Linked DNA regions of Pelodiscus sinensis. The protein of the gene in region 2 interacts with the protein of the main gene of each other region in a biochemical or structural test. Links are inferred from orthologs where the notes say so. Each region holds a gene or a part of one and is shown on either strand. Other genes may lie near its edges. The genes, in order: SH3GL2, ITCH, SMAD3 and ERBB4.

The links.
Region 1: the proteins of ITCH (region 2) and SH3GL2 form a complex in vitro, tested with the Homo sapiens proteins (2 studies listed by BioGRID, with this or other methods). The link is inferred for Pelodiscus sinensis from reciprocal best matches to the Homo sapiens genes ITCH and SH3GL2.
Region 3: the proteins of ITCH (region 2) and SMAD3 form a complex in vitro, tested with the Homo sapiens proteins (2 studies listed by BioGRID and IntAct, with this or other methods). The link is inferred for Pelodiscus sinensis from reciprocal best matches to the Homo sapiens genes ITCH and SMAD3.
Region 4: the proteins of ITCH (region 2) and ERBB4 form a complex in vitro, tested with the Homo sapiens proteins (2 studies listed by BioGRID, with this or other methods). The link is inferred for Pelodiscus sinensis from reciprocal best matches to the Homo sapiens genes ITCH and ERBB4.

Annotation. Positions count from the first base shown.
Region 1 is NC_134716.1:20,842,893-20,850,542, forward strand, and holds the start of SH3GL2 (endophilin-A1), read right to left. Parts: upstream 3,018-7,650; 5' UTR 2,858-3,017; coding exon 2,813-2,857; intron 1-2,812. UniProt on the Homo sapiens protein: Implicated in synaptic vesicle endocytosis. May recruit other proteins to membranes with high curvature. Required for BDNF-dependent dendrite outgrowth.
Region 2 is NC_134728.1:35,531,440-35,539,308, reverse strand, and holds the start of ITCH (E3 ubiquitin-protein ligase Itchy homolog), read right to left. Parts: upstream 3,002-7,869; 5' UTR 2,873-3,001; intron 1-2,872. UniProt on the Homo sapiens protein: Acts as an Acts as an E3 ubiquitin-protein ligase which accepts ubiquitin from an E2 ubiquitin-conjugating enzyme in the form of a thioester and then directly transfers the ubiquitin to targeted substrates.
Region 3 is NC_134724.1:3,775,135-3,782,105, reverse strand, and holds the start of SMAD3 (mothers against decapentaplegic homolog 3), read left to right. Parts: upstream 1-3,956; 5' UTR 3,957-4,162; coding exon 4,163-4,368; intron 4,369-6,971. UniProt on the Homo sapiens protein: Receptor-regulated SMAD (R-SMAD) that is an intracellular signal transducer and transcriptional modulator activated by TGF-beta (transforming growth factor) and activin type 1 receptor kinases.
Region 4 is NC_134717.1:59,548,276-59,555,100, reverse strand, and holds the start of ERBB4 (receptor tyrosine-protein kinase erbB-4), read left to right. Parts: upstream 1-3,804; 5' UTR 3,805-4,150; coding exon 4,151-4,235; intron 4,236-6,825. UniProt on the Homo sapiens protein: Tyrosine-protein kinase that plays an essential role as cell surface receptor for neuregulins and EGF family members and regulates development of the heart, the central nervous system and the mammary gland, gene transcription, cell proliferation, differentiation, migration and apoptosis.

The DNA.
Region 1 (7,650 bases), on a different chromosome or scaffold from region 2:
CTAGCAAGTGCTAAATTTGCCCTTGCTTTTCATTGGCTAATACTGCTGCTCTTGTTGCAAGAGCTTCCATGTAAAGGAGACTGCAACATTTATTCCAATAAATACCTTATACATAGTGTGTAAAATTCTGTGGACTGCCTTGTTTTGTTTTTAACTGTTTACTTTTTAAAATAGAAAACAAATACAGTATTGATATTGGATAAAATAAACATAGAAACGTAATTAATGTGATTTGAAATTACATTAGGTACAATAAATTCCTTTTGTATGGAAGAAAATTAAATTAATATGATTATAGAAATGCCAAAAAGCTTTATATTTTGTAATAGGAAAATATTATTGTGCTTATAGTCAAATATTATGTATGTGCATGTTAGCCAGAGAGACATACACACAGGGAATAATGTTATGAATGAGCATAACAGCTTCAGTGGTGGAAGTATACAAGCGCAATTAAACACTGTAGATTTTTTTCTGGACTGAAAGACACAGTAAGCCTAGAAAATTACTTTTCAACTTAATGGCATATGAACAGGTTTTCAAGAATTGGAGTATATTAACAAATGAAATGTTGTCTTGCTGGTGACTATCTCAAACATTTCATTTCTCAAGCAAAATTTGCATAATTGCTGTGGTCCAGGTTATGACATCCCAACACCTCTATGTATTCCATATTAGTTTTTTACAATAAGACCCAGTTAAAATATAGGAAATAAAATTATTTGGTCCATGCAACAGCCTGACACATTTAGAATCCAATTGTGTTTTCAAGAGAAAACAAACTGTTCAAGTAACAGCGGAGTGGCGCTGTAACAATTTTAAGTGGGGGTGCTGAGCAGCATCCTGCCCCACATCTGTTTGCACCCCCTCACTGTCCCAAATTCCAAAGTTTTAAAATGTTCCCTGTAGGGTTTGGGAGTCCAACTGTAAGAAAACAGGTCACTTGTGAGTAGGCATTCCTAGATTCAAAGGCTAGAAGGGACCACTTTGATCATTTAGTCTGAATTAGCAAATGATACAGTAGCACAGTATGATATGAATGACAACATGCAATGTGTTGCTCCATGCACCACTGTTGATAAAGGTCCCAATATGCACCATTATATTCATAGTCATAATGCCATTTGTTTGTTTGAAGGAATTCACTATTAGAACCAGAATTTGAGTGAGTCTTCTATTGCATGAAGTTAAGAAATTGTTGTTCCATTCGATCAAAAAGCAGGCACGGTTTTCGTAGAAACCTAAAAGGACATGAGATGAGAAAAGGAGAAGGTACAGATTCCCCAAAGGTGTTATACCGTGCTGAATTTCGCAAGCCTCCTTTTGAAGACTATTTACAATGGTTTTACGCTCTACCCTGAGGACACTCCATCTCATTTTCTATGTGAATTGAAGAGAGTCTAATTTTAATGTCAGTCTTGACAATGTAATATGCACAGTAACTCCACTGACTTCAGTGGATTTCCATCAATGTTATTATTAAAATTTAACCACAGATTGCATTTGAAGTATTATTTTAAGTTATTTTTAAAAATAAATTTGCATCTGGTGAAACTTTCATCCTGATTGCTCTAAAATAATGTAGAATACCTACAGCAGCAAGATTCCCTCACCCCATCACTAGCCAACATATGGGCCGTGATCTGAATACTACTGTTTACTGGCGATTTACAAAAACAACTAGAAGAAATCCAAATGAAATCCAGGATTGTAGGATGTGCAGTGTAAGAAGTCCCTTTTCTAAGGCCAGATTTTTAAGCCAGAATGTATGAAACATCTGAAACTCAACAAAATTAATTCTTAAATTAGTGCAAAGCCCACTTCTGGATACAAAGATCAAGCACATGCCTGCTTAAATTAGTTTCACTGTTGATAAAACTGCTCGAGGTCTGAGCAGGGCTATGCACCTAAATAACAAGTGAGAAACCAACACAGATGATCCCTTGGGAGGGTTGTTTTCTGCTAAGGGGAGAGAGAAAAACCCAACCATGGCAGTTCAGACCCACTGTGCAACTGCTCAAAGGATGGAGATTTCAGAGAGCACTCATGGTACAAGGTCACAGGAGGAGGAGGACTTTACATAATCTCACAGACAGCCACACAACTAGCCGCAGGTTTCACAGAGAAAAAAATCACACCCCGCGCAGTTGTGGCAAATGCCCCGAAGCGCTCTGCTCTGCTCTGCTGTCCCCGTCCTGGGGGAGGAGGGGCGGGCAGAGCGGATCTAGTAATTCAATTGCGAACGGCTCTGCGGGCGCAAGAGGACAGAGGCGCCTGCAGTGCGGGACCCGCAGCGGAGCCGGCTGCCATCCGAGCCTGGACTCCGCTCGCTAAATAATGCAGCTGCGGCGGCCAGGCAGGGCTGCGGCGAGGGACCCAGCGCCCCGCTGCGCGCGCCGCCTCCTTCCCCGGGGATACGGTACCTGCTGCAGACCCGTCCAGCGACCCGGAGGGGCACCAGCCCCACCGCTCCTGCAACCCCCCCCCCCCACCACACACACACTCCCGGGTCCCTTGAGACTGCAGATCAGCTGGAGTTGGGGAGGGGTGGGAGGAGGCAGCATAGGAGTGGGGGGGACTGGCTCCTTCCCTGGCTCCCCCTCCGACCCCACAACTTCCCTGAGGCAATGCAAGCCAGGACCCCTCCCCCCACACACACACACTCCCCCCCCCCCCCCGGGTCCGCCCGCAGAGCTCCAGGAGCGGTCACGGCATCAGCCCCCGGCCCCCGCGTCCAGGCACCCCCGGGATCCTGCCCCGCGCCTGCAGGGGGGGTAGCGGGGCGCCCCGAGACATGGCGCCGCGCCCGTACCTGGGTGGCCTTGTGGAACTGCTTCTTGAACCCGGCCACGGACATGGCAGCGGGCGGCGCGGGGCGGCTGCAGGCGGGAAGCGGGGCTCCTCTCGCGCGTGCCGCTCTCCGAGCCTCTTTCCCCCGGCGCGCAGGTTCGCAGATGCCAGCCTGTGGTGCAGAAACCCTGACGTCAAAGCGAGGGAGCCCAGCCCCTTAAAGAGACAGGTGTCCTCCCTGCCGCCCCGCCCGGGCTGGGAGCGAGCGTCCGGCCCGGGCGCCCGCTGCATTCTGCACGGCCCCTGCGTTCCCTCCTGCAGAACTGCATAAGCGCCAATGAAAGCAATCGGACCTGTTCCTTGGCTTTTTTATTTGCCATGCACGTAGAGCTTTCCACACCCTGAACTCACCCTGCCCCTATACCCGCGTGCCAGGGCCTCGGGACCTCACACACAGAGCTCTGCAAATCCATGGGGATCCCGGACAGCTGCGGCTCGTTTTTGCGGCAATGGATGGGGATGTGGCTACAAATGTTGTTACCCGTGCGGGGCTGTAGGGATCGAGTCAATTTCTTGCAGCACGTTTCTCTAACTGAAGGGTGGGGGACCTAAGGCCCAGAGGTCAGAAGTGGTCCCTGCTTGCCAGGATCCAGCCCCCAAGGCCCAGGGCTCTCCACGCAACATGGCGGAGCCCACACGGCTGCACCAATCTCACCCCATGTGGGGCTGGAGCATAAAAAAATCTACTAGGGGGGGCCTAGGCTCTGGTGTGCAAGGGGCATGTGGAGAGTATCTTTCTCCTTCTCAGTCCCGGGATCAGTGAAAGTTTGGTGTGGCCCCTAACTGATTTTTCTGTGGGTCAGCAGCCCCTGACCCAAAAAAGGTTCCTCACTCTGCTCTAACTGATTATATGCCAGAGGCAGAATTCAGATGATGTTCGAATTAGCCCCTATTTTTCTAAACTTGAAGTTAGGCACCTAAGTCTATAGTAAAGATGACAAACGAAGGTGACCTAATTTTCCTAGGCCCATAGCCCACTTTGAGAAACACTGGCGTAGACCCTCCCTGGGAGAAGGGAGGTGCGTTTGGGGATGCCTGCAGGGATGAGTTGCCTAAAGCTTTCTGTGGGAGGAGGGAATGAAGAAAGTGGCAAGCCCAGAGGAATGGGGAAGGTTAGGAGGTATGGAACTAGCTTAGGGAAAGGCAGGGAATGGACCTTGGCTACTGTACAGAGGGCCCTGAGCTGGAACCTAAAGTAGAGGGCAGGTTCATGGGCGGTCAGTGCAGCTGGGGGAGGCAGGACTCCAGCCGCACCTACAGTGCCATCCCCTCTACTAAGGCCCTGACCCCACCATGAGAAGGGGAAGAAATGGGGGAGGAGCATGCAAGCACATGCCCACACCCTGCCCCGTCCTCAGAGCACCAGGGACAGAGGAGGCCATGCGGCTTCCACCTCCCTGACCCCTGGAGCACTGAGGAAGGAGCCACATGGCTCCTGCCTGCCGGGCCGCTGGAGCACAGGGGAGAGTGGGCACTGGGGGGCAGCAACACTCTGCCCCCAGAACACCTACAGCAAAGCCTTCCCCCACCTAGGCTACCAGATGCCCATGGGCAAGTTGCCCTGGCAGCCACTGTAAGGCAGTGAAAGAGAAGACCGCCTGAGACTGCTGGCGGAACATTACCACAAACATTCACCCTGTCCAGGATTAGAAACAAAAGACACTATTGATTCATTCACTCAGGAAAATCCTTTGCAGAAGAGGTGCTTTCATCAATGGTTTGGATTCTGTTTACTGGGGAAACAGTCAGCTCTGCAATAGACTAAACAATGACAGAGACAGGAGGGTGGCATCGATTGTATTAGGTTGGAAAGATAATTATTGAGAAGTGTAGACCACAGTTCATATTTATGATTTTGTTTCCTATTGTAACCATTTCCATCACTCTCTCATCTCCAGTAAAATTTTAATTTTTTTCTTAAACATCCCTAGTTTTGTTTAATTAAAAGTGCTCATAAGTCTTGTGTGGCTTATAAAAGTAGTAGTTCATGATACAGCTGGTAAATTGGGGTACACTGCAGCTTTGAAAATTCTGTGAGTGTCAGAAGGGTATAATTGAAAGGGATTTGGAGTGCACCTATTGTTAACCTACAAGGTAAAGGAAGGGCTGGTACAAGTCCAGTGGAAAGAGCTTAAATGGGAACCAGAAGAAAGACTCCCTCTCACTGAAGGCAGGGTTAACAAGCTGATTCTCAGTTTTGGGTAACCTGAGAACTATCAACCTGCAAGCACTTCCACATTTTTTTTTGTTTTATCAAGATATTTGATCAAAAGGCTTCAGAGACTATCTTTGGAGGAAGATGAAAGGTAAAAGGTGGGAGGAACAATTTGAACTCTCTTCAGATAACAGATTTTTATAGAAATTAAGTTTTCTATTTTTTAAATAAATCTCTCCCAATTAAATGGAAAGAAACATTGGTTTTGTACTTTAAAACAGCACTGCACTAAGCACTAGAAAATATATCCATTGGTGTTTTGCTGAACTGCCAGGGAAATTAATTAGATAACTTAATACATTTTCTACCTTTTACCTCTATGACTAACTGGTTCCCATATTCTGCCATTGTTTTTAGTATATGGTGAAAAGAAATCATGTTTAATTATTTAAAAATTAATATGTATAAAGATAACCAAGCTAAAATATTAGAATCCAAAATTCCATTCCTTTGGTAGGCATGATTCTTGTATAGTACTCCCAGGGTACATCTTCACTACAGAGGAGGATCGAAGCTGCTGCTGTTGATCTTCCAGAGTTCGAATTCGCGGTCTAGTTAAGACAGCTAATTCGAACTGCAAGGGGCACTCCAGCCGATGCTGGTAGTCCTGCTTTCACAAGGAGCAAGGGAAGTCGAAGAGAGTGTTCTCCCTTCAACTTCCTTCAGTGTAGGCAGTACCAAAAGCCAAGTTAAGATGTTTTGACTTCAGCTACACAAGTAATGTAGCTGAAGTTGATATCCTAATTCGCCTTTGTCCTGTAGTAGAGATGTACCCTCAGAAATTATCATTAGTAGAGCAGAAACTTTTGCCTACTGGAATTTCCCATTGAACATAAGAGGTTTTGTTCAGGACTACACAAGAGTAATAAAACAAGTACTATACTATATTACCTACATTTTAGTTCAATAAGTCCTCATCAGATATAACAGTACAATTTCAACCTACAATGTCTTTTGATTCAGAATTGTAGGAAATCAGAAGTTCAGGTAACGTTAAATCATTGTTACATACTATTGCCCCATCTCTGCCCTGCCTTCGAGGAATGCTGGATTCTTTCGATAGCTAGGAGCTATGCTAGGAAACTGTTTTAACACGATCGGGTAACACTAATCAGAAAAAAGGATTTAATCTAATCTGAAAATATAAAACCTGAAATTATGTCTTCGTCTTCTGTGTAGGTTGTATATTTTTTACTTTTCCTTACTATTTTATCTCTGGATTAGTGATTTTTCTAATAAATAACTTGTTTATTTTTGTACTGTGCCTGTCTCCAGTGCACAGCATGGAGCACATATGCTAAAGTGAGCTAGTAAGTGGCAGTCTGGTTTCAAACCGTTGAGGGTGATAAAGGATGAATTTGGGAGACCCAGGACTGGGAAGGTTATTAGTATCACCTACAAAGAGTAAGCAGATGGGTGGGAAGCAGGTTGAGACTATATGCTTGTGGGCAAGCTACTGGTGTCAGTGAATTGAACCATAACCTCTAAACATCCCTTACTGGTCTGTGTGGACCCCAGAACATAACAAATAAGTGCACACACAGATATGGACACTTAATAAAACATTTTCATTTATAAAAATATCTACCTCTTATCAGTAGACCTCATCTTCTTTGATTTCTTTCATCAGTACATCTCAAAGCAGTATACAAAAGAGTCGATTTTACTATCCCCAACTGTCTCCCCCAACCACCTCTGTGGACCTTTCCTGCTTCTTCTGTCTTCTCCTAACCTGAGATTTTCCTCCTTCTCTTCAGTGATGTCCTCTCACACTGCACTTGTTATGGTATCTCTCCCTTCCTTCCCTCTATCCCTATACAATATGCCTCCCTGTCTGGTAGGTCCCCTGTCCCTTAACTTGTTCCTAAGATGTCAGCCTCTGGGATGGGTTTTCACCCCTCTAATATTTTCACCTTTCTTCTTTTCCCTACCATAAGTGTATTCACCTCCAATGGCTCTTTCTGACAGTTGGCTTCTAGCTTAGCCCCTCTCCTATGCTAGTCACCCCGATAAAGAATTCCTATTTCCTTCCCTTCACCCCACTGCTAATTGACCCATTCCCCATTGGAGGGCTCCCCATTCTCCTGCTCTTCCATTCTTTCCCACTTCTTCCTGCATTGACACACACACACACCATTAATATGGGAAGTTGATTGGGGGACAAGTGGAAAAAATAGAATGAGAAGCATGAGAAAGCAGCTTCTGGATTCCCTCTACTTGCCTGAGTACATTATTTATTTCAGGCCTGATTTGCTTTGGACAGTCAGGAAAACAGATCAGAAACCTGAGGTTAGCAAAGGCCAGGTGAGATTTTTAGGAAGTAAGCAACATCTCCTTCCACAATGTCAGTGTGACAAGTAGAACAACAATCTCAGGCAGGCTTCCTGGATACTGGTTTAAAGCCACAACCCTTACATCCAGATAAAAATCTATATAATGTCCTCTTGCAGTCCATTCTAATGATCTATAAATAATAATAGCATATTAACGGAGATGATTCTCAATATGTTGGCTCTGCCAACCCAGCCTTTATAACAGCCAATTTAACCAAAAGGCTAAGTTCCCCATATGCTGGCTAAAGCATT
Region 2 (7,869 bases):
CACTGAGGACGCTACCGAACCAACCCAGCAACACCCCAGCTGCTCTGCCCCCAGCGTCCCCAAGTCAGCCGCTGCTGAAACTGACCAGCCCGCTGGTCAGTTTCAGCAGTGGCTGAATGGGGGACAGCTGGGGTGCTGCCAGGTTGGTCCCGCAGCACCGAGGGGCAGCGCTATGGGACCTACCAGCAGCACTCCAGCTGCTCTGCCCCCGGCTTCTCCAATTCAGCCGCTGGTCAGTTTCAGCAGCAGCTGAATCGGGGAAGCCGGGGGCAGAGCAGCTCCAATGGTCCGGCTGCCTGGAGCACTTCCGGGTTCCTGATGGTGCCGGACCATCAGATGCCAGACCAATGGAGTTTTACTGTACATCTATTCTACTGCTGCCTCTCAAAAATCTGGAGCTGCCTTCCCTGTTGTTATAAATTATAGCTATCAAAACAAGGTAAATCTTGAAAGAGGTGTGGCCCAAAATTTCAGACCCAGTTAAATAACTCGCACATCATTGTAATCTTCCTCTACCTACAATTTGGATTTTATTGTCTCGCAATGTCAGTCCTACACATTTAGATACTAGAGGATCAATAACTAAGGCCTATCGATGTTTCCAAAACTAGAAGTGAGGGGCCCAACGTTGCCATTCTAGAGTGACTTTATTTACTAAAGATTATACATAGTGTACCAAAACAACCATTCACATTGCAGTTACAAACACTTATGCTTTAGTGTTCTGGGCCATCATTTTAGGACACTGCATTATTTATAGGACAAAGCAAGTAAACACTAGTGAGATGGCTGCAGCAAGATTCGTCAGGACAGAGTGAAGACACTAGTAGTCAAAGGAGGTTCATTTCAAAGTCTGGGAAAGGGGCTGAGCTAGACAATTATTGGATTGAGAGGAATAAATTGGGGGGAATGAGTTATCAACTCACACAAGCCAAACACCTGGTGGTGATTTTGGGGGGCAGAGTGTATGAATAAAACAGGCATCATGCAAGATAGAGGAACCTAGCAAGAGACAGCAAACCACCCCAGGGCTGGCAAATCATCCAGAATCAGACAGCCGCTAATGAATACCCCCAACTCAGGGTGAGCGCAGTAGCTACAAACCAGGTCAATGAAGTCTATCAACCAGAATGGGCTGGTGATTGACTGGACAGTGAGAAGACTGTAGTCAGAGCACTGGATCTGGTTGCCAAAGTGTGCTGGTCAGCTGTAGGGTCTGGCTAGAGATTAGATCACCAGGGTCTGGCCAAAGGGGGCTGGCTGAATGGGGCAGTAGCAGGGAGGTCTGGAAGCCAAAGAGCACTGGGTGGGGCAGTGACCGGGGGGAGGGGGGGGGGCAGCCAGAGGATGCTTGGCAGAAGGGCAAGGCAGGGGAGGCCTGGCAGTCAGAGGGTGGGGCAGTGGCAAGGGGAAGAAGCTGGCAGACAGAGGGCACTGGGCGGGGCAGTCGTGGTGGGGGGTGTCTGGCATCCAGAGGCACTGGGCAGGGAAGTAGGGAGAGTCTGGCAGCTGCTGGGCGGGGCAGTGGCTGGGGGGGAGTCTGGTAGCTGGAGGCACTGGGCATGGCAGGGGCAGGGGGGAGAGGGGTCTGGCAGCCGGAGGCACTGGGCGGGGTCCCACGGGAGGCAGGGCAGTGGCGGGGGGGGGGGAGGGTCTGGGCGAGGCAGTGGCGGGGGGGGGGGTCTGGCAGCCGGAGGCGCTGGGCGGGGCAGTGAGCGGGGGTCCCACGGGAGGCGGGGGGGGGGGCGCTGGGCAGGGCAGTGGCTGGGGGGGAGGGTCTGGGCGGGGCAGTGACGGGGGGGGGGGTCTGGCAGCCGGAGGCGCTGGGCGGGGCAGTGCCGGGGGGGGGGGTCTGGGCGGGGCGGGGCAGTGCCGGGGGGGGTCTGGCAGCCGGAGGCGCGGGGCAGTGCCGGGGGGGGGGGTCTGGGCGGGGCGGGGCAGTGCCGGGGGGGGGTCTGGCAGCCGGAGGCGCTGGGCGGGGCAGTGCCGGGGGGGAGGCTCTGGGCGGGGCAGTGCCGGGGGGGAGGCTCTGGGCGGGGCAGTGCCGGGGGGGGGTCTGGCAGCCGGAGGCGCGGGGCAGTGCCGGGGGGGGGGGGGTCTGGGCGGGGCGGGGCAGTGCCGGGGGGAGGCTCTGGGCGGGGCAGTGCCGGGGGGGGGTCTGGCAGCCGGAGGCTCTGGGCGGGGCAGTGCCGGGGGGAGGCTCTGGGCGGGGCGGGGCAGTGCCGGGGGGGGGGGGTCTGGCAGCCGGAGGCGCGGGGCAGTGCCGGGGGGGAGGCTCTGGGCGGCGCGGGGCAGTGCCGGGGGGGAGGCTCTGGGCGGGGCGGGGCAGTGCCGGGGGGGGTCTGGCAGCCGGAGGCGCGGGGCAGTGCCGGGGGGGGGGGGTCTGGGCGGGGCGGGGCAGTGCCGGGGGGGAGGCTCTGGGCGGGACGGGGCAGTGCCGGGGGGGGGTCTGGCAGCCGGAGGCGCGGGGCAGTGCCGGGGGGGGGGTCTGGGCGGGGCGGGGCAGTGCCGGGGGGGGGGGTCTGGGCGGGGCGGGGCAGTGCCGGGGGGGGGTCTGGCAGCCGGAGGCGCGGGGCAGTGCCGGGGGGGGGTCTGGCAGCCGGAGGCGCGGGGCGGGGCAGTGCCGGGGGGGGGGGGGGCGCGGGGCGGGGCAGTGCCGGGGGGGGGGCTGGCAGCGCTGGGCGGGGCTGTGGGGGGGGTCCCACGGGGGGCGGGGCAGGGGCCCCAGGGGCCGGGACCGAAACGCCCCCGCCCCGCTCGCTGCGAGCCCCGGGGCGGGAGCGGCTCCCCCAGCCCCCCCCGGCGGAGTCGCGGCAGCGCTTCGAGAGGCGAGCGGGCGGGCGCAGCCGCTTCTCCGCGGCGGACTCCTTACCGGCCGGGGCGGCGGGGCCAGCGCCTCAAGCCCTCCGCCAAGATGGCAGCCAGTCCGAGCCCAACCTCAGGCAGCGACTTTCCAAAGTCGGACGGCCACGACGCATGCGCAGAGTCAGCGATGGCGGAGGGCGTGGAGGGTGAAAACTACAACTCCCAGAATGCCCCGCTGGGAGTACGCACGCGCACTACCTGGGCGGACTGGGGTCGGACTGTCAGCTGATGGGTCGAGGGAAGCCGGTGGACTGGGCGCTGGCGCGGCTCCCGCAGGGGAAGGGGCTGAGGGTGGGCCACCAGGAATGGAGACTGGCCGCGTGAGTGGCCCCGAGCCCCGCGCTTCCCTGCTGCTCCCCCCAGTCCCGCCCCTCCCCCTCCAGAGCTGGAGCGAGTCAGCTGCTCCCCGCGCTCCGCCCCTAGCGGCCGGGAAGGGTCTGCAGGGCAAGCCCCAGTGGGCTACAGGTGCCACCACCAGACTGAACCGCGGGGTGGGTTCCCGGACGGATCTGGGGGGGGCGGGCTCTGTGAGCAGTGGGGGTCCCACAGAAAGGGACTGTTGGACTCTGTGTGAGCTTCCCCATAGGGATCCTGGGGGAGAACTTTGTGCAGGCAGGGGGAACTCACCTAGACAAGGATTATGGAGAGCCTCTGCTCACAGAGACCTTGGGGGCAACTCTGGGAGTAGGGGCCACCTCCCCGACAGGAATTTGGAGGGGGTTCTGTGCAGGTAATGTGGCACCCATCCAGACCGGGATTATGGAGGTGCTCTGTGCTAGCAGTGGAGTCTCCCCATAGAGGGGTGCTCTGTGCGGGTTCAGATGTGCTTTGAATTTATTTCATACAGAGAAGGTATAATATGGTTATTCTTTGAAAAGTGGCAGTGGAGGGTTTCACTTTTAATCTCTAAAGGCCTAATCCATCATCAGAATGGCAAATCCCAAAGGAACATGGCTGCTGCAACCAGCTCCAGTATAAAAAATTTAGCAGCACTAAGCACCTTAGATAGAAACATAAACACTGGTACAGTTTCAAAAAGAGATTTCTGCGTTGCATGGATCTGTGTACCTCTTTAGGTATAAATGCACTTACAGCACTGAAATCCTTTTCATCCACAGATCTGTCATGGAAGGAGGAAACAAAGCATACTTTCCAACCATTGCCTGCTATACCACTGTACCAGCTAAGAGTGAGAGGATAGTTCAGTCTCCGTAGTCTGGTCAATCCTGGGCTTCTACTGAAGCACCAGCAAGACTGTTCATTAATAGTATATTAGGACGCATTTTTATGAACTAATGAAGATTAAGGAATTCATAAAGTTCAACAGTTCATAAAACTGCACATCTCAAAATTACAGTAGGTACTGTGCATAAGTATTGCTTTTTCATGCCCTTCAGACCGCTGCCAAGCAATTCCAATGCACTGATGGCATCAGAACATGAAAGGTTGTGGACTTTTTCTTCATCAACTTCACTTTTATTATGTGACTTTTTTCCCTCACAGGGAAAAATGGTTTGTATAATTGTTTGTTTATAACATAAATCTTCATAAAATCAAGGTTCTGCTGTAATACATTGCACTTTTACACATTGATGACCTCCTGAGGTCTCTTCCAGTTCTAGTGTTCTATGATTATATGATCTTAAAGCACTTTGGCTACGTCTACACTGGCAAGATTTTGAGCAAATACTTTTAACGGAAGAGTTTTTCCGTTAAAAGTATTTGCGCAAGAGAGCGTCTACACTGGCATGTGCTTTTGCTCAAGAGATGTGCTTTTGCGCAAAACCAGTGTAGACGCTCTCTTGCGCAAGAAAGCTCCAATGGCCATTTTAGCCTTCGGGCTTTCTTGCCCAAGAAATTAACGTTGCCTGTCTACACTGGCCTCTTGCGCAAGAATACTTGCGCAAAAGGGCTTATCCCTGAGCGGAAGCGTCAGAGTATTTGCGCAAGAAGCACTGATTTTGTACATTACAACATCAGTGTTCTTGTGCAAACACTTGCAGCCAGTGTAGACAGGCGGGAAGATTTTGTGCAAAATCTTGCCAATGTAGACACAGCCTTAGAGAAAAACTGGGGTCTGGCAAAAGGGGGCTGGTTGGATGGGGCTGTACCAAGTAGGTCTGGCAGCCAGAGGGCACTAGGCGGGGTAGTGGCAGGGGGAGGCGGGTGTCTGGCAGCCAGAGGGCACTGGGCGGGGTAGTGGCAGGGGGAGGTGGGTGTCTGGCAGCCAGAGGGCACTGGGCGGGGTAGTGGCGGGGGGGGGCGGGTGTCTGGCAGCCAGAGGGCACTGGGCAGGGTAGTGGCAGGGGGAGGTGGGTGTCTGGCAGCCAGAGGGCACTGGGCGGGGTAGTGGCAGGGGGGGGCGGGTGTCTGGCAGCCAGAGGGCACTGGGCGGGGTAGTGGCAGGGGGAGGTGGGTGTCTGGCAGCCAGAGGATGCTTGGTGGAGGGGCAAGGCAGGGGAAGCCTGGCAGTCAGAGGGTGGGGCAGTGGCGGGGTAGGGTCCAGAGTGCTTCATTTTTTCTTCTTAAAGCACTTTGAGGAAAAATGAACTGGAGCACTGGGAGAGCTTTTGCCCAGCACTCCTGAAGTGGCCACACTGCCAAGGCTGTGCTTTAAACTTTCAAGCGTAGACAAAGCCTCAGCTTGTTCATGAAGATGGAATAATGCTGTCCTACAAGGAAGGTATTTGGGAACACTCATTTGAAATCCTGTTCGGCTACTGAGGATACAGATGTCATTAGTGGGGACAGATGCATGGTTTCCCACTCACATCCAGTAATAGTACTAACAAAGACTTCAAGTGATATGAGAGATTATCATTTCCAGGAGAATCAATGTGAGCAAAAGAAACAGGAGTAACTATTTTGTATGGCACTTGAGCACTACTGTGTTACTTATTTACACTGAAAAACCCAAAAGATCATTGTGTCCATTTATATTTATTGAAACCCCAAAAGAGCCCCATTGTGAGGATGCTGGACAAACTCTCACAGGCTTCTTCCTGCCAGAAATGTTAATTTTAAGAAGATAAGCAACATATGGAGGATGTTGGAAATATGAACTGTTACACACAAATACTTTTGTGAGCCCAGTGTTGTCTGCACATAATACATTACATGCAAAAGCATTATATTAAAAGACCTTTAAGATTGCAAAGTCAAACACTTAAAAGTTAGGAAATGCCTGAATTAAGGTGCTTGTGCTACACTAGTGTGGCTTCTTTGTGTGTAGGCATAATAATACATTCTTTAATTAGCTGATCAGATGCTAGCATTCCCAGGGGACCCCTGCTTAATTCAGTGAAAAGGTTGGTGCACAGTGAATGGGCAGCTATTTGGTATTTCCTGTTATCCTCATTATTCAGTGTGCATCTACTGGATAAAAGGAAATATTGCACAGCTACCTTATTTACTGCACCACATCCAAACCCTGCCCAGAGGACAGAGAGTGTTTCTGTACAGTTCTCATTATAATATCTGAGTACCACACACCCCAATGAATTTGTCTTCATGGGCTGTGGTGGCATTAGTATCACCATTTACCGATGAGGCACAGAGAATAAGGGCAAATGTGTCCCCCTAATGTTAGATGCCCCAGATGTCTCAACGCAGGCATCCAGAAAACGACACACACACAATTAGAGACCACTGGTGCAGATTCTGGTTTAAGTGATTTCCCTAGCCACACATAGGAACTCTATGATAGTTCTTGAGGGTGGCATTTAATTGCCTTCATCATGCAATCATCCTTTTGATATTACTGTTCCCCCGGCCCCCTGCACAACACCGATTCACTCTCAGAGCCCAATCCAGTCTAATAGTGTATGGCTGGGTAATTAAAGTCTATTATAATCCACAACATGGTCCTTGTAATGTACATCATGCACAATGTGCTTTAGTCAAATAAGTTATTGTCCTCAGTATAGAGATAAATGGGGAAATTCTATGGTCTATGTTATACAAGAAGTCAGCCTAGTCCTAGATGATCTAATGGTCCCTTCCAGCTTTTAAAATCTAGTTAGTTATGAATGAATCACAAGGAAGCCATATTAGGGTTGACAGGGTAACCTTAATTTTGGCATGTTCGTGTTGAGTGCTTATATTTGCAACCATAATGTTCTTTTAACATTTTTAAATGTAAGTTTCCGAATGTTTATATAAGCAAACTAAAAAAAAAAAAAACCACACAAAATTCACGATGTAGAACTTAATTGAACTTCATAGTCACCAGCAATGTTGGGATCTTTAGATTCACAGTACAGACCTTGGCCATTTGAACCAATGGAATAGCTGATAGCAGTAGTAGGTTGTTATCCTATATGTGGTCAGCCACTAGAGCAGGATGATACCCTTTGCCAATGAGCATCACAGCTATTTGCCACAGAGTACAAGAATAGTGAGGCATAGAAATCCTGAGTTCAGTTTTAGCTGCTCTAAAATGTCTATAGGCCTTTCTGTTCCTGTCCATGTTTGTCCTAGTGCCCCTCTACTTCTATCCACAGTCCAATGGCTTCTGCCCCACACCTCATCTGATCCTCTCCATCTCTTCATGACGATTATCCCTGCCCCCAACCCTGGCCTTTATTCATCTCACTTGGCTCCTGTTCCTTTCCCCCTCTGTTCCAGTTTCCTGCCCCAACTCATGCCCCTCATACACAATTTTAAGCTACTGAAAAAGTCTTATAATGGACAGTGTTAGACAACCTTGATAATAGATAGAACTGATGGGTCTGTGAGATGTGTCTGTCTGCTCCTCAGTCTATCCTGAATCAGTCTGATAATCTCTCACAATCTCCATGGGGGACATGAGTCTTGTGCTGGAATGTGAAGGTACAAAGTTGCATTAAGTTGCATAAGTCTGCTGGTCTTGCCTGATTAGTTCAGGTAGAGTATTCTATGATAAGGGTCACTTTGGGAGAATTCCCAAAGACACTTGTTAAACAGTACAGTAACTGACTAACTGGGGAGAGTGTGGGCTAGAGGACTTGCAAGGCCAGTCCTACA
Region 3 (6,971 bases), on a different chromosome or scaffold from region 2:
TCTGCACTTGAGTTGTCTTACGCTGGTCAGCCAAAAACTTAGGTCACTCAAAATCAGGACTACTTTCTAAGATGTTGTCTCTTCAGCCCTGGAATGCCCCCTTCCTGCTGATGTCTCACCCACTGTTAGCTACTCCACCACTTTGTGTTAGGACCCACATCTCTCCCACACAGCATCATCCTCGCCTCTGTGTACTGCCCTTCCATGGTACCCTCACACTCGGAGGTCCCAGGGAACCACCCCAATTCTCTATACCCACCTTGCCTGATAGTAGGAGTGGACTTGCTGCCTTGTTCTATCCTGGCTGCCTCCCTAATTGCCTCAGGCCTTAGAGCAAGGCCTCACCCTGGGAGTTTGCCTGGCCAGAGCTCCCCAGCCCTGCCTGCCTGCACCTCTAGCTTCTCTGACAGTTTGGTCCCACTAACTGCACAGCTGGAGCAAGAGTGAATAAATGCCCCCTGCTTCCAGGAGTCCTTATTTATACAGCCCCAGGTGGGCTCTAATTGGCTGTATCTTCATCAGCTGCTTACTCCACAGTCCCAGCCCTCTCCCAGGACTGGATTTAACCTTTCTTTAGCCTGTGTGGGGCAGATGCCCCCTCACACAGACTAGCAAAGTGAGTGGCAAGGTGGGCAACTGGAATACCAAATTAGCTAACTACATTGAGGCAAAACTACATTGTCACCTGGACTTCTTGTAAAAAATTTTTTTTTTTTATAGTGAAGACATAGCTTCTTTAGGGGCCTATCTCTGGCATGCAGCCCTACAGATTTCAGTGCCTGTATCTGTCCGCTTGGTCATGAAGGACTGTGTCATTTGTATTTCTTTTTGCAACATGAGTATCAATGACATTTCATCCCTCCACGTCATTCATGGTGCAGACTTTTAACAGTTTTACCTAACACTTCACACTCAGACAATCCCAGCAGTAGAGAACAAAGCCCAGCACTGGAAGGTGGGTGTGGTAGGAATCCTTACTGGAAAGAGTTTCAATGCGCACAAAACAGATATCAGACAGTATCACAAAGAAAAAACAGTTTCTTGCCATTTCAACCAGAAAGGACATTGTCTCAATGACTTGTATACCTGCATCCTGATTCAAAGACATTTTAACACAAGACTTGAAAGAGAAACCTCTGAACTGTCATTCATGCTTAAATTTGACACTTTACGCCTGGGTCTCAACAAAGATGCTAATTACCTTACCCATTACAAACACAGCTTCCCCAATTATCACCTCTAATATAATTAGCTCACAGACATTAACCTCCCCTCCCCAACCCCCTCTGTTCTGAAATTTGATTTGTCCTTTTTATATGTGTTTGCTTTTTTTGATTATAGCCCTTTGGTATATATGGTCATGACAATTTTCTTCCACAATTTGATCTGAGGAAGTGGGTCTGGCCCACGAAAGCTAATAAACCATCTTGTTAGTCTTTAAAGTGCTACATAGTCCTGTTTTTTGTTTCAGCTAGACTAGACTAACATGGCTACATCTCTATTACTATTCTGCCTTTTTAGGGGGTGGTTAATGGGTATGAAGTCCCCCTTTGCTCTCTGAGGGAAATACGAGCAGGTAAGGAGAGGAAGATCAAGTGTTACACTTTCTAGAGTGGGTGGTGGGGCACAGATGAGAGGGCATCCACCCATCTGCTGTAAAGTTGAGAGGTGATTACATACAGGCTGTGTCTAGACTGGCAAGTTCTAGATTGGCATGGACACTTTTCTGCAAAAAGTGCTTTTGCGGAAAACAGTCCATGCCAATCTAGACTCTCTTTTCCACAAATGCTTTTAACAGAAAACCTTTCCGTTAAAAGCATTTGCGGAAAATCATGCCAGTCTAGACACAGCCACACAGTACAAAACAGGAAGTGGCTGTCTAGAAAGAAGTACTGCAGAAAGGGATCTAGGGGATCATAGTGGATCACAAGGTAAACATGAATGAGTGGTGTGACACTTGCAAAAAAAAAAAAGCAAACATGATTCTGGGATGCATTAACAAGAGCATTGTGAACAAGATACAAGAAGTAATTCTTCCACTCTATTCTGTACTGACTAGGCCTCTTCTGGAGTGTTTGTGTCCAGTTCTGGGCACCACATTTCAAGAAAGATGTGGAGAACTTGGAGAGGGTCTAGAGAAGAACAACAAAAATGATGCAAGGTCTAGAAAACATGACCTGTGAGGGAAGACTGCAAGAATTAGGTTTGTTTAGTTTAGAAAAGAGAAGACTGAGAAGGGACATGATAGCAGTTTTCAAGTACCTAAAAGGGTGTTACAAAGGAGGAGGGGGAAATATTCTCCTTAACCTCTGATGACAGCACAAGAAGCAATGGGCTTAAATTATAGCAAAGGAGTTTTAGATTGGACATTAGCAGGGCTCGACAAACTATAGAATCTACTCGCCCATGGTGACTAGATTTCAGCTGCATGCCCCATTTACCGGCGATGTGCGTATGCGCAATGCGGCTCTTGACCATGCACAGTGTGGGGCTGGCAAGCGGCTTTCGCCACCGTTTGTCAAGCCCTGGACATTAGGAAAAACTTCCTGTCAGGATGGATAAGTACCGGAATAAACTGCCTCTGGAGGTTGTGGAATCTCCGTCATTGGAGGTATTTAAGAGCAGATTACATAAACATCTGGCAGGAATGACCTGTCCTAGATGATGCTTGGACCTGCTGTGAGGGCAGGAGCCTGGACTTGACCTGTTGAGGTCCCTTCCAGTCCTAGTATCCTATGGTTAGGTGAGAGGAGGTCTCCCTACACAATGTGTGTGTTGGGGGTAACTGACAAGAAATCCTGCTTCCAGGTATTTGGATTTATTGTGTTTTTTTCTGGGTGGCGGAGGTGGGGGGGGGGGGGGAAGGTCCATTGGTTGCCAAGTCCCTGGGCATTGAGATTAATGGAGAAGACCCTCCCCTTCCAGTCTCTGGGCTCAATGTGTGTATGGGGATGTCACGGACAGCAGCGCCCCCTACTCCCAGGGCTCGTGTATATGTTGGGGAGCCCCCATACTCTATGGGTTCCTTGTGTATATGAGGGGTGGGGGAGAGACACCTGTATTCCCAGGGCTCCTTGTGTACGTGGAGGGTCACCAAGCAGAGCCCCCTCCCTTGGCTCACTATTACTATGAAGGGGTCACTGAGGGGACCCCTCCTGCCCGGGCTCGCTGTGCATATATGGGGATCACTGAGGGAAGCCCCCATGTACTCCCAGGGCTTCTTGTGTATAGGGGGAGTCACTGAAGGGAGCCCCCCAGAGTCCTAGGGCTTCTGTATGTGGCCGTCCACCCCCTTCCCCAGGGCTCGCTGTGGGTATGAAGGGGTCACTGTGGAAAGTCTCCCCCCCACTCCAAAGAATTGTGTACACGGGGGGGGGTCTCTCAGAGGAGCTCTCCACAGTCCCAGGACTCCTCGTGTATGTGGGTCACCCCCCTTCCCCGGGGTTCCCTGTGGGTGTGAAGGGGTGACTGAGGGAAGCCCCCCCACTCCAAAGAATTGTGTACATGGGGGGGGGTCTCTCAGAGGAGCTCGCCACAGTCCCAGGACTCCTCGTGTATGTGGGTCACCCCCCTTCCCCAGGGCTCGCTGTGGGTGTGAAGGGGTCACTGAGGGAAGCCCCCCCCCCCCACTCCAAAGAATTGTGTACATGGGGGGGGGTCTCTCAGAGGAGCTCGCCACAGTCCCGGGACTCCTCGTGTACGTGGGTCACCCCCCTCCCCCAGGGCTCGCTGTGGGTGTGAAGGGGTCACTGAGGGAAGCCCCCCCCACTCCAAAGAATTGTGCACGCGGGGCCTGAGGGGACTCTGGGCGGGCAGGGGGTGGGGCCGGGCGCTGGCCGCCCGTTGCTCCCCCCCCCGCCCGCTGGCGGCGCGAGCCAGTAGCGCGCTTGGGCGGGCTGGCGGGAGGCGGGGGTGGGCGCCGAGCCGGGGCTGCCGGGCGGCGATTTGCATGCGAGGCAGACTGGGAACGAGCCGGGGCGGCCGCCTGTCGGCGCGCGCAGAGCGGGGGCCGGCGGAGGGGCGGGCGGGCCAAGTCGGGGCGAAGTTTGCCGGGGCTGCGAGCGACGCCAGGCGCCAGCCCCGCTGCCCTCGGCCCGGGAGGGGCCGCGCCGCCGAGCCGAGCGGGGACGCGGGCGGGCTGCGAGCCGGCCGCCGAGCCAGCATGTCCTCCATCCTGCCCTTCACTCCCCCCATCGTCAAGCGGCTGCTGGGCTGGAAGAAGGGGGAGCAGAACGGGCAGGAGGAGAAGTGGTGCGAGAAGGCGGTGAAGAGCCTGGTGAAGAAGCTGAAGAAGACGGGGCAGCTGGACGAGCTGGAGAAGGCGATCACCACGCAGAGCATCAACACCAAGTGCATCACCATCCCCAGGTAGGGGCGGGGGGGGGCGCCTCTCTGGGCTCCCACCCACAGGCTAAATCGGGGGGGGGGACACGGAGGCTTGCACCCTTGCGGAGATGCTCCCCCCCCAGATCGATGTGCATGTGCACAGGAGCCCGGGGGGGGCGCACAGGGAGACGTGTCCAGGCAGTGGGGATGAGCCCCTTCCTGCACGCCTGGGGTCCCATGCAGAGACACCTGTGCACCCTGAGAGGGGGCAGGCACAGGTCAGGCACATGCATCTGACGAAGTGGGTCTTTGCCCACGAAAGCTTATGCTCCTACACTTCAGTTAGTCTATAAGGTGCCACAGGACTCCTCGCCGCATGGGCCATACGTTCACCTAGAGCCCGCGGGGGAGACCGGTGAAGTCATTCACTTGCAGAGGTAAGGACTGGACGTCCACAAGAGACACGCGTCAACAGAGGGACGCCCATGAATAAAGACGCACAGACCTGCAAGCACACGGAGATGTGAAGACCCATATATATACCCATTGGAACATGCCTGACTGACACACATGTACCTGTAAATAGACGCAGGCAGATGTGTGCCCCCACACACGTTTGTGTGCGTATTATAGACATTAAGCATACACATGGGGACTCGGAAAAGCCATAACCATTAAAGGCTTGTGTTAGAGGAATTTTGCTTTTCTCTCTGGCCAGCTCTAATAGATGTTGGGTTTTGTATTCCTTTTTAAAAAAACTATTCCAGAATACTTTGGTTACTTGAAATTAAGAGGTCACGGAATTGAATTAAATCTATGAATAGAGGAGACAGAAATTAAGACAGGAACGCAAGACGGGAAATGTTTTCAGCTAAGATTTGAAAAAAGATGGATTAGTTCTACTCATGGGTGATACTCTGTTTTGTAGCCAGAGGTTTCACTCTTTTCTGTTACTGTTTAAATTAGTATCTCTGATTTCCTTTCTGAATCAGATAAATTAGTTTGCTTGTGTGTCTTGGTCTGTTCTGTCAGACATTTTCCTGAAGAAGTGATTTAGGGCCCTTGGATTTACGTTTCCAGAGTAGGTCGTTATACTTTCAAAAAACCCACCCAAAGCACACAACCAAGGAATGCAATTTGCATAGCTAAATTGGATTGCTGTTTAGGAGAGGCATCATATACATAAAATAACTGATTTTTTTCCACATACTTTAATCCTTTATGCAGTATTTTAATGCTTGACTCAGTACTATTGCACACAGGATTCATCATAAGGCACAGGAGAGGACAAGTATCTAAATGATTACATATTTTAGATTATCTTTGAGGAAATCAAATCACTGTGAACATTTTATTGCTGAAATTACGTTGATTTCTGTATGCTCATTCAGATATTTGGCATTTTAATTTATTTTATGGAATAATACAGCATTGCTTTTTTAACATGCTAAAGTTCATTGAGAACAGTTCAATGTGGTATAATGGTAGGCTTCTGTGTATTGATACGGTCTTTCATGTGTGTATGTACCGGTAAATTCTTGGTTGTCACAATGACTTAATATTCAGTACCTAGTGGTCACAAAGCTTATCTGTTTTATGAACCACAGATACAAACAGTTTTCAAATGTTATGAAGAGTTGAAACTCTTTTTTCAAAATGAATACCTTCAACAAATACAATTTTAATAGACTGTTCAATATACCCTGGCTCTTCTCTACCAAATGACAACAGGTCAGAGTTTAGTGTAAATTCAGAATGACTCCACTGAAGTCAGTGAAACCATCCTGGATTCTCACTTGAGTTAAAACTGAGATCAGAATCTTGATTTGGCTGTTCTTAAGCTTATGTTTGGAAACTCATCATAATCAGCTAAAGCTCTTTCTTGGAGTATTTGCTTACCTTAACCCAAAAACTCCTGCGACTGATGATACTTGCTATGTCTTTTGCTTTTCTGGTTTTAGTAAGAACTGACCAGTGTAGAATTGGAAGGGGAATCACCGGCATTTGCCATTTTTAGCATTAATGTTTGCCCTTTATGGGTGTTGTTGCTAATAATCATAATCATAATAATAAAGAATACAGAAAAAAAACAATTAGGTTAGCCTGTCTTGGCACTGTACAGACACCTAATAAGAGACAGTCCCTGCCTGGAAGTGGTTACAACAATGTAAATAATCAAGTGGTGAAGGGGAAATAGCTTTATAGAGTGGTGAAACTACTCTCCTTCTGAAGTTGCACAGAAGGTAACTATGTAGTGGTGTTGTAGCTGTGTTGGTCTCAAGATACTGGAGAGACAAGGTGAGGGCATATTTTTTTATTGGAGTAACTTCTGCTGGTGAGGTGGACAAGCTTTCAAGTTTACACAGAGCTCTTTTTCAGGTCTGGGAAACAAACTCAAAATGTCACTGCTAAATATAAGGTCAGTATCAGAACTAGAATTATAATCCAAGTATTCTGTCCAATGCCTTAACCACTGGACCACACTGCCAGTACTAAAATATCATTGTATCAGACTGTCAGGGCATTATTCTAATTCTCAGAAGGCTGCTTCTCTGACTATTTTCATTTTATAAATTTTGGACATTATTTCCCTAGTTTGTAACACAAATATTTTGGGAACAAAAGGCCAAACTGTTACGGTTAGA
Region 4 (6,825 bases), on a different chromosome or scaffold from region 2:
CGCTGAGTCCCAGATGGATAAGGGTGGGTGCTGTATGCCCCAAACCCATAGGAGGAAAAGGGTAGAAGGTGTCTGAATTAACCAGTTTGCACCTTAAGCCCTTGGTGTGGTAAAAGACAGAGTACCCTAAATTGGGCAGGTAACAGCCTGAAAAAATTGCCTGGGAATGTTGGAGTCTGTGTACTGATTAGGGATATAAAGAACTAACCAGTTACCCAGTAAGCATCCATGGGGAACTGATTATCCTGCAGCGGACTGCTGCGGCCAGGCCCAGTTCCCCCAGTCCGTGGTGCGGCAGGCTCAGTTAACCAGGTAAACATTATGAACAGTATAGAAAAGCTAATACTAAAGTCCATGAAATACTGGACATATAATACATTTGAACTTGTTCCCACTGAAGTGGAAGTCAATGAAAAAAATATCATTGAGCAGGATTGGACTTTGTCTGAACAGGCAGCAATGTCCTTCATACACCCATGCACTTGCTGTAGCAATTTGTTTGCAAACAGTCTGGATTTAGGGACTGTTAAATGTTGGCTGCTTTGTTCTATATTAGGTAGTTTAATACCAAGCAACAGTCGCCAGAAAACAGATTCTGTTCCCTAGGATGGATACAAGAGGAATCAGACAGATTTTAATTAGAGATGTAGTGAGCTGCTCAAAACAATTTACAGAGGTATGTTAGCATTTGCTGTTTTGCTCTGCTGGATACATTTCTGGGCTACAGCTAGTCAGTAACTGTAATCCACTCCAAATACACATTCTGTTCTATTTTAGGTTCTTGTACTTCTCCCCTTGCAGGGGTACAGGAAGCTAGGCAGTGTCACGTAGGATCAGACCCGGGGGCCAACTACCCCAGTATCTTGACCTTGGTTGGTAACCATACCAGAGTGCCACTTTACATGTCCGTGCACATGCTGCTTATTTCTACCCTTACACATTTTGACCATGTTACTAGAATAACACAATGTGACATAAACATGTGCTCAGAGACAGTCTGACAAGCACTGGTCATCTAGCTAAAGTAAAGTAACTATCAGCCTGACCATTCAATCACTACAACCTTTTCTTCATGTTGAGATAGGATACAATACCCTACTCCCTCCTGTTCTCCAATGCCCAGTACAGTTCTCAGTCCAATCTTTCCTCCTAACTCATAACATTCCTGGCCTGATAAGCATGAGTGCTGGACACCCATACCTCCCTTCAAGTCAGGTACTGCAGCAAGCTTTTGGCATTACTTGAGCTCAGGCTGGGGCTGCAAGTAATGTAAATATTTTACAGGTACTCTCCTACTGAAACCCCCTTTACCCTTGGAGGTGCTGCGATAGGACAGTACCTGTAAGAAATGTTAAGTGTGGGATGGAGTGCAGGGGGTTGAAGGAAGCTGAGGGCGGGAGTGTGCGTGTGTGTGTGCGTGTGTGTGTGTGCGCGCGCGCAGGAATCAGGAAAGAGAGCTGGGAGGGGTTGGGGGCTCAGGGCAGGGGTGGTAGGTGCAGGAGTGAAGGTAGGGGTGAGATGGGAGCTCAGGGCAGGTGTGGGTGCAGAAGTCAGAGGAGAGAGTTTCAGGGGGAGGGGTTCAGGGCAGGTGTGTTTGTGGGTGCAAGACTGAGGAGACAGAGTGGGGGGCTCTGGGCTTGGAGTGCAGCCACTGCACGGCCCAGCTATGGGATCCCCAGGGCTGGCAGGGGCTATGTTGTCTTACTGCCCAAGCACTTTCACCACTGGCTCAGGCCAGAAAACGCGTTGCCTCTTCCCCCTAGCAATTACCCTGCTGCTGCTGAAGACAACATTGGAAGGCCACAGTAGAGAGAACACATGTGTTCTGTTTTGGCTGGGACAGTCCACTTTTGAAAGCTTGTCTCAGCCATCCTGTTCTGGCAAAATTGGGCATTCGCCCAGTTAGCTCTTGCCAACTGACATATCCAGTTTTGCCAAAAAAAGTGGGACTCGACCCCTGGTATGGCGTGGAGGAACATGGTGGGGAGGACTGGCAGGAACACCAGCCTTCCAGGGGAGGAAGGAAGACAGACAACAGCTCGGGCCGGGCCGGGCCAGGCCAACTAAGCAGAGGATCTTGTGGAAAGCCCCCATGCAGGAGGCCTCAGGCTGGTCCCACATGTGGCACGGGAAGGCAGCCGGCTGGTGCCTTGGGCAGGCCTGACTCCATGCAATGTAAAGATTTTAGGGCAGATACCAAAAGTCCTAGCAAGGAGATTGCCTGACCTACAGAGGGTTCATAAATGTGCAAGGAGGAGACCAGAGCTAATGGAATAGCTGTGGCTGGAGAGGACCCTCTGCAGGATATCAGGGAAGGGGAGGCAGTTGATGGGCCATCAGAAGTTTTATTTCTAGGTGGGAAGGGCTGTTGAAAGTCAAAGAGGGGAAGACTCCAAAGCTTCAATAAGCTACAGAAACTGAGGGACTGGGTCTAGACTGGCAAGTTTTTCTGCAAAAGCAGCTGCTTTTGCGGAAAAACTTGCCAGCTGTCTACACTGGCTGCTTGAATTTCCGCAAGAACACTGACGATCTAATGTAAGAAATCAGAGCTTCTTGCGGAAATACTGTGCTGCTCCCATTCGGGCAAAAGTCCTTTTGTGCAAAAGCTTTCGTGCAAAAGGGCGAGTGTAGACAGCTCAGCTTTGTTTTGCGCAAAAAAGCCTCGATGGTGAAAATTGCAATCAGGGCTTTTTTGCGCAAAAGCGCGTCTAGATTGGACACGGATGCTTTTGCGGAAAAGTGCTTTTGCGGAAAAGCGTCCGTGCCAATCTAGATGCTCTTTTCCACAAATGCTTTTAACGGAAAACTTTTCCGTTAAAAGCATTTGCGGAAAATCATGCCAGTCTATACGTCGCCAGGCTGTTCCCAGCAAGCCGCCTGCTCTTTGGAACAGCTCCTCTCAAGGATAAACCTCAGGGGTACAGATACTCTAGATTACTTTAATTAGCCTCCACTGGCAGCAGCCTCAGTCCAGAATAGCTCCTGCCTTGCTGCTTTAGTAACAAAAGCAAAGCAAAACACCCTTCGGATTATTTTGGGAGCAATCCCATATGTCGAACTGAGTCATAGGCGCGGCAGACACGGCTCTTGTTTAAATGATGCCACCTGAAAGGGAACCCAGCCACCTGCAGCCTCTCTGAGCTGCCCCCGCCCCGGGCAATCAGCAGCCAGAGTGAGAAGCTGCGTGTGGACAGTCTGCTCCCTTGCAGAGCGCGCGCGGGTGTGTGTGTGTGAGGGAGATCAGGAGCGAACCCTTCACGCTCCTCGCCGCCTGCCACAGCAGGGGCTGCCCGGAAAACGCTGCAAAGCGGACCCAGCTGCGTTTGGGAAAAGCCTCCGCAAGCTGCGGGATTGCCAGCGGTCCAGCCTGTCTGCGGCGATGCAGCTGGGTGCGTGTGTGTGGACAACCCCCCTAGATCCAATGCAAGGGGGGGGGGTGCCTGCTTGGAAAAGGCAGCGTGCCTGTGTCCCCCACCCCTTCCCGCGCTCAGCCAGGTGCAACCGCTGATTGCAAAGGAGGGGAAAGCAACCCCCAGCCGCGCTTGCACGGAGCAGGAAGAAACAAGGGCAGCACAGCACCCCCCAGCCGCGGGACACCCCCCGCAGCGAGCCCATGGGCAGGCCACTGCAAAGCCGCGTCTCCGGGGCACGGCGGGCGCCCAGTGCATATCACCCCCTTACGGCTAACCCGGGGCAGGGCTCGCGCCGCCCGCCAAGCGCGCGTGACAGGTGTTCCCGGGCCGCGCGTGGGGGGAGTGAGCCGGGCCCCGCCGGCGGCGGGCGGGGCGGGGCTTGTGCCCAGAGGGGGCGGGGCCTCGGCGGTGTGTGTGTCTCGCTCCAGCCTGCCCCGCCGCTCGGTGCGGGATTATTTGGGGGGGCGGCGGCGGCGCGCAGCAGCCGGGGAGCGGAGGCGAGGGGGGCTCCCGGGCGGCAGCCCTGCAGCGCCGGGACCCGCGAGCGGAGCAGAAGCAGCAGGAGCAGCAAGGGGAGGGGCACCGCCAACCAACCCCCCCTGAAAAAAGAAAGTGGAGCCGGGGGAGCCACTTGTTGCGGGCCGAGTGGGGAAGAAGCCGCCGGTGCCCCGCGCCCGGCCGCGGGGGGAGCTGCCCGTGGGGACCATGTGAGCGCGCCGCCCGACCCTCCGCCAGCCATGAAGCCGCCGGCCGCTGGGCTCCTGTGCTGGCTCGGCTGCCTGCTGGTCTCCGGCGCCCTGCAGCCCGGCGCGGCGCAGGCAGGTGGGTGGCCGCGACGCCGAGCCGGTTTGACGACCCCCCCCTTGAAGTGTGACCCTGCGCGGGGGGGGCCTTGCTGGGGCAGCCGGGGTCCAGCTGCGGCCGCTCCGGGGGGGACGCTGCGGTGCCGCGGGCCGGGACGGCTCCTCTAGGAGCTGGCGGCTTGACGGGCGCTTCGCTGCCCCACCTGCGTGCGGCCCCGGGCGCCCTGCGCAGCGCTGGCGGGAGGGGGTCTGGCCTCCCCGGCATGCAGGGCTCCTAGGTTAACCTCCCCCTTCTGCGTTAGGCGCTCCCCTGGCAGGCTGCTGTGGAGCCAGGCACAGCCCCCCCCCCCCCCCCCGTAACACTCCCGTTGCGTGGCTCCCGGAGGACTTTGTGGAGTTGTTGAGCTGCTCTTGGCCCCGGTCCCGGGATGAACTCGGCACGCGGGCAGCGGGGAACAACCCAGCCCGGCATCTTGGTGCAAGGGTTGGCGGCATCTTCACCCCCCCCCCCCCCCCCGACGCGTGTGACCCCGGGAATCGGCTGCCCCGCTCAGACTTTGAGCCGAGTCAAAACGCTCGGGCTTTAAGCCCATCCTCTAGGGTGCCCCCCCCCGGTGAACGCGGGGCGAGGTGGGCTGGACGGGTCCGTGTCGCTCTCCTCCCGTGCAGCCTGCCAGACGCGGCTGGGTTCCCCTGCGTTTGTGCGCGCACCGTGCTGCGGGCACGCATCGGCTGGCTGCGGGGTCGGACCCGCGGCGTGCGAGCCTGGGGTGCCCTTCGAGCCCCTGCAGACCCCCTTCCACCTGGCGGTGCATGCGCCCCCCCCCCCCCTTCCAAAGCAGCGTGCGCTTGGCCGGGCGGAATATCTGTGGGGCAACCTACAGCGTTTTCCCTCTGCTTTCAACCGCGCTCCTTGGGGGGGACTCTCCTTTGCAAGCCCCTCTCGGGATTCCCCGGCACGGAATATCCCCCCAGATTAGTCCCGCGGCGCCGCCGCCTCCTCCCGTAGGGTCCCCGTCGCGCGCGAATCCGTCCGAGTCAGTGGGATGTGATGAGTGTATGTTGGACAAGGCTGGTGTCACAAAAGCCAAGCTCGGGTTTTTCAGACACCAGGCGAGCCAGGATGCGCGAGGAGGGGCGAGGAAAGCTAGTTCGTGGATTTCTTTGACTCGAAAGACGGTTGCGGCTGAGAAATTGCAACAATTCTGCGTGCAGGGAGGGGTGGGGAAAGAGATCCCCTTAATTTCGGTCTAACTACCAAAGCCAATGATTTGTCTGTTCGTTTTTGTGTGCTCTCCCCAAGTATATCCGTATTGAGCGTTCCCCCGTCAGTAGCAGTTTGGAGGAGTTTGTTTTGGTCCAAATGAGAAATTAAGTGCGGATAAGTAAACTAAGCTGCCAGAGGGCGACAAGATGTTGTGTGAATTGCTTTTAGATGAAACAAATTAAGGAAACGAGGGAGACAATCTGCTTCTCGCATTATTAGACACGCTTGGAGTTCAGGGGAAAGTGGCATATTTTTGAAATGCTAATGTCTTAAGAAGCAGAAGGAATGCACCTTATTTACTGGTTTATGTGAATAGAATAGAAATATTGATTTCTCCCCCCTCCCCAGTACAAATCATTAGACGTGTGGTTCTGTCTCTTCAAAGAAACCTGTAGGAAGTCTTGTTTCAATTTTTCCCCTTTAAAATTGCAGGGGTGCATCTATGAGTCAACTTGTAAGATATTTAAAAGGGGTGTCCCGTAGCATCCCTAGAGACGATACATTATACTACCGTTTACGTTTCCGATGTCAGTGTTATATCCCCCAGCAGAACAATTCCTGGGAAGTAACTCTGTATTGGTGTTCATGTGTGATTTACAAGAAAGTGTTAGTATATCGTTCATTTATTCTGCAAAAGGGAAACATAAACACACTCCTAGACAGAAGCAAGCAGCGGTTCCAAGTCCACAAAGTGTGTTACGCTGTTTAACCTGGGTCTGTCCCGAGGCATATAAATAAGGGTTTCCCCATATATTTTTCAATGTTTCCAATTATTGCCAGGTAAACCTACATAGTTGGATTCCTGTTTAACCAATTTATTAAAAAATGTAATGACCTTGAAAGATGAAAACAAAAGCCTTAAATGTACATTTTTCCTTCACGGTGACTACATGTTTATGAAAAATACACAGTGCAAAATTTCCTTAAACTCCTTTCATAGTGCTTGAGGTTTTCTTGTGTTCAGAAAGATGTTGATTTGCTCAGATTTTAACGTGGGTTTGGATTGGTCTCACTGAACAGATTACTACTGCTTAGATATATTGTAAAATTTTGCATTTGTGTATAGACCTGATGATAGAAACACAATGAGATTTTGTTGGCTATATTTTTTTAGGGGACAGTTGTTTTAAGTTAGACATTAAAAAGAGGGCGTATAAAATTGCTCACATTTCCTTCTTGTTTTAAATAATGGGGAGATGAAGAAGTTTGACCAATCACTGGTGCATTCACACATTCTTGACATGGTCTGTGTTCCTATTTTTAAGTAGCTGAGATCAGAGCTATGTTGAGAGAGAACTGATATATTATCTGACACTTAGGAAAACGCTTTTATAATGACGTA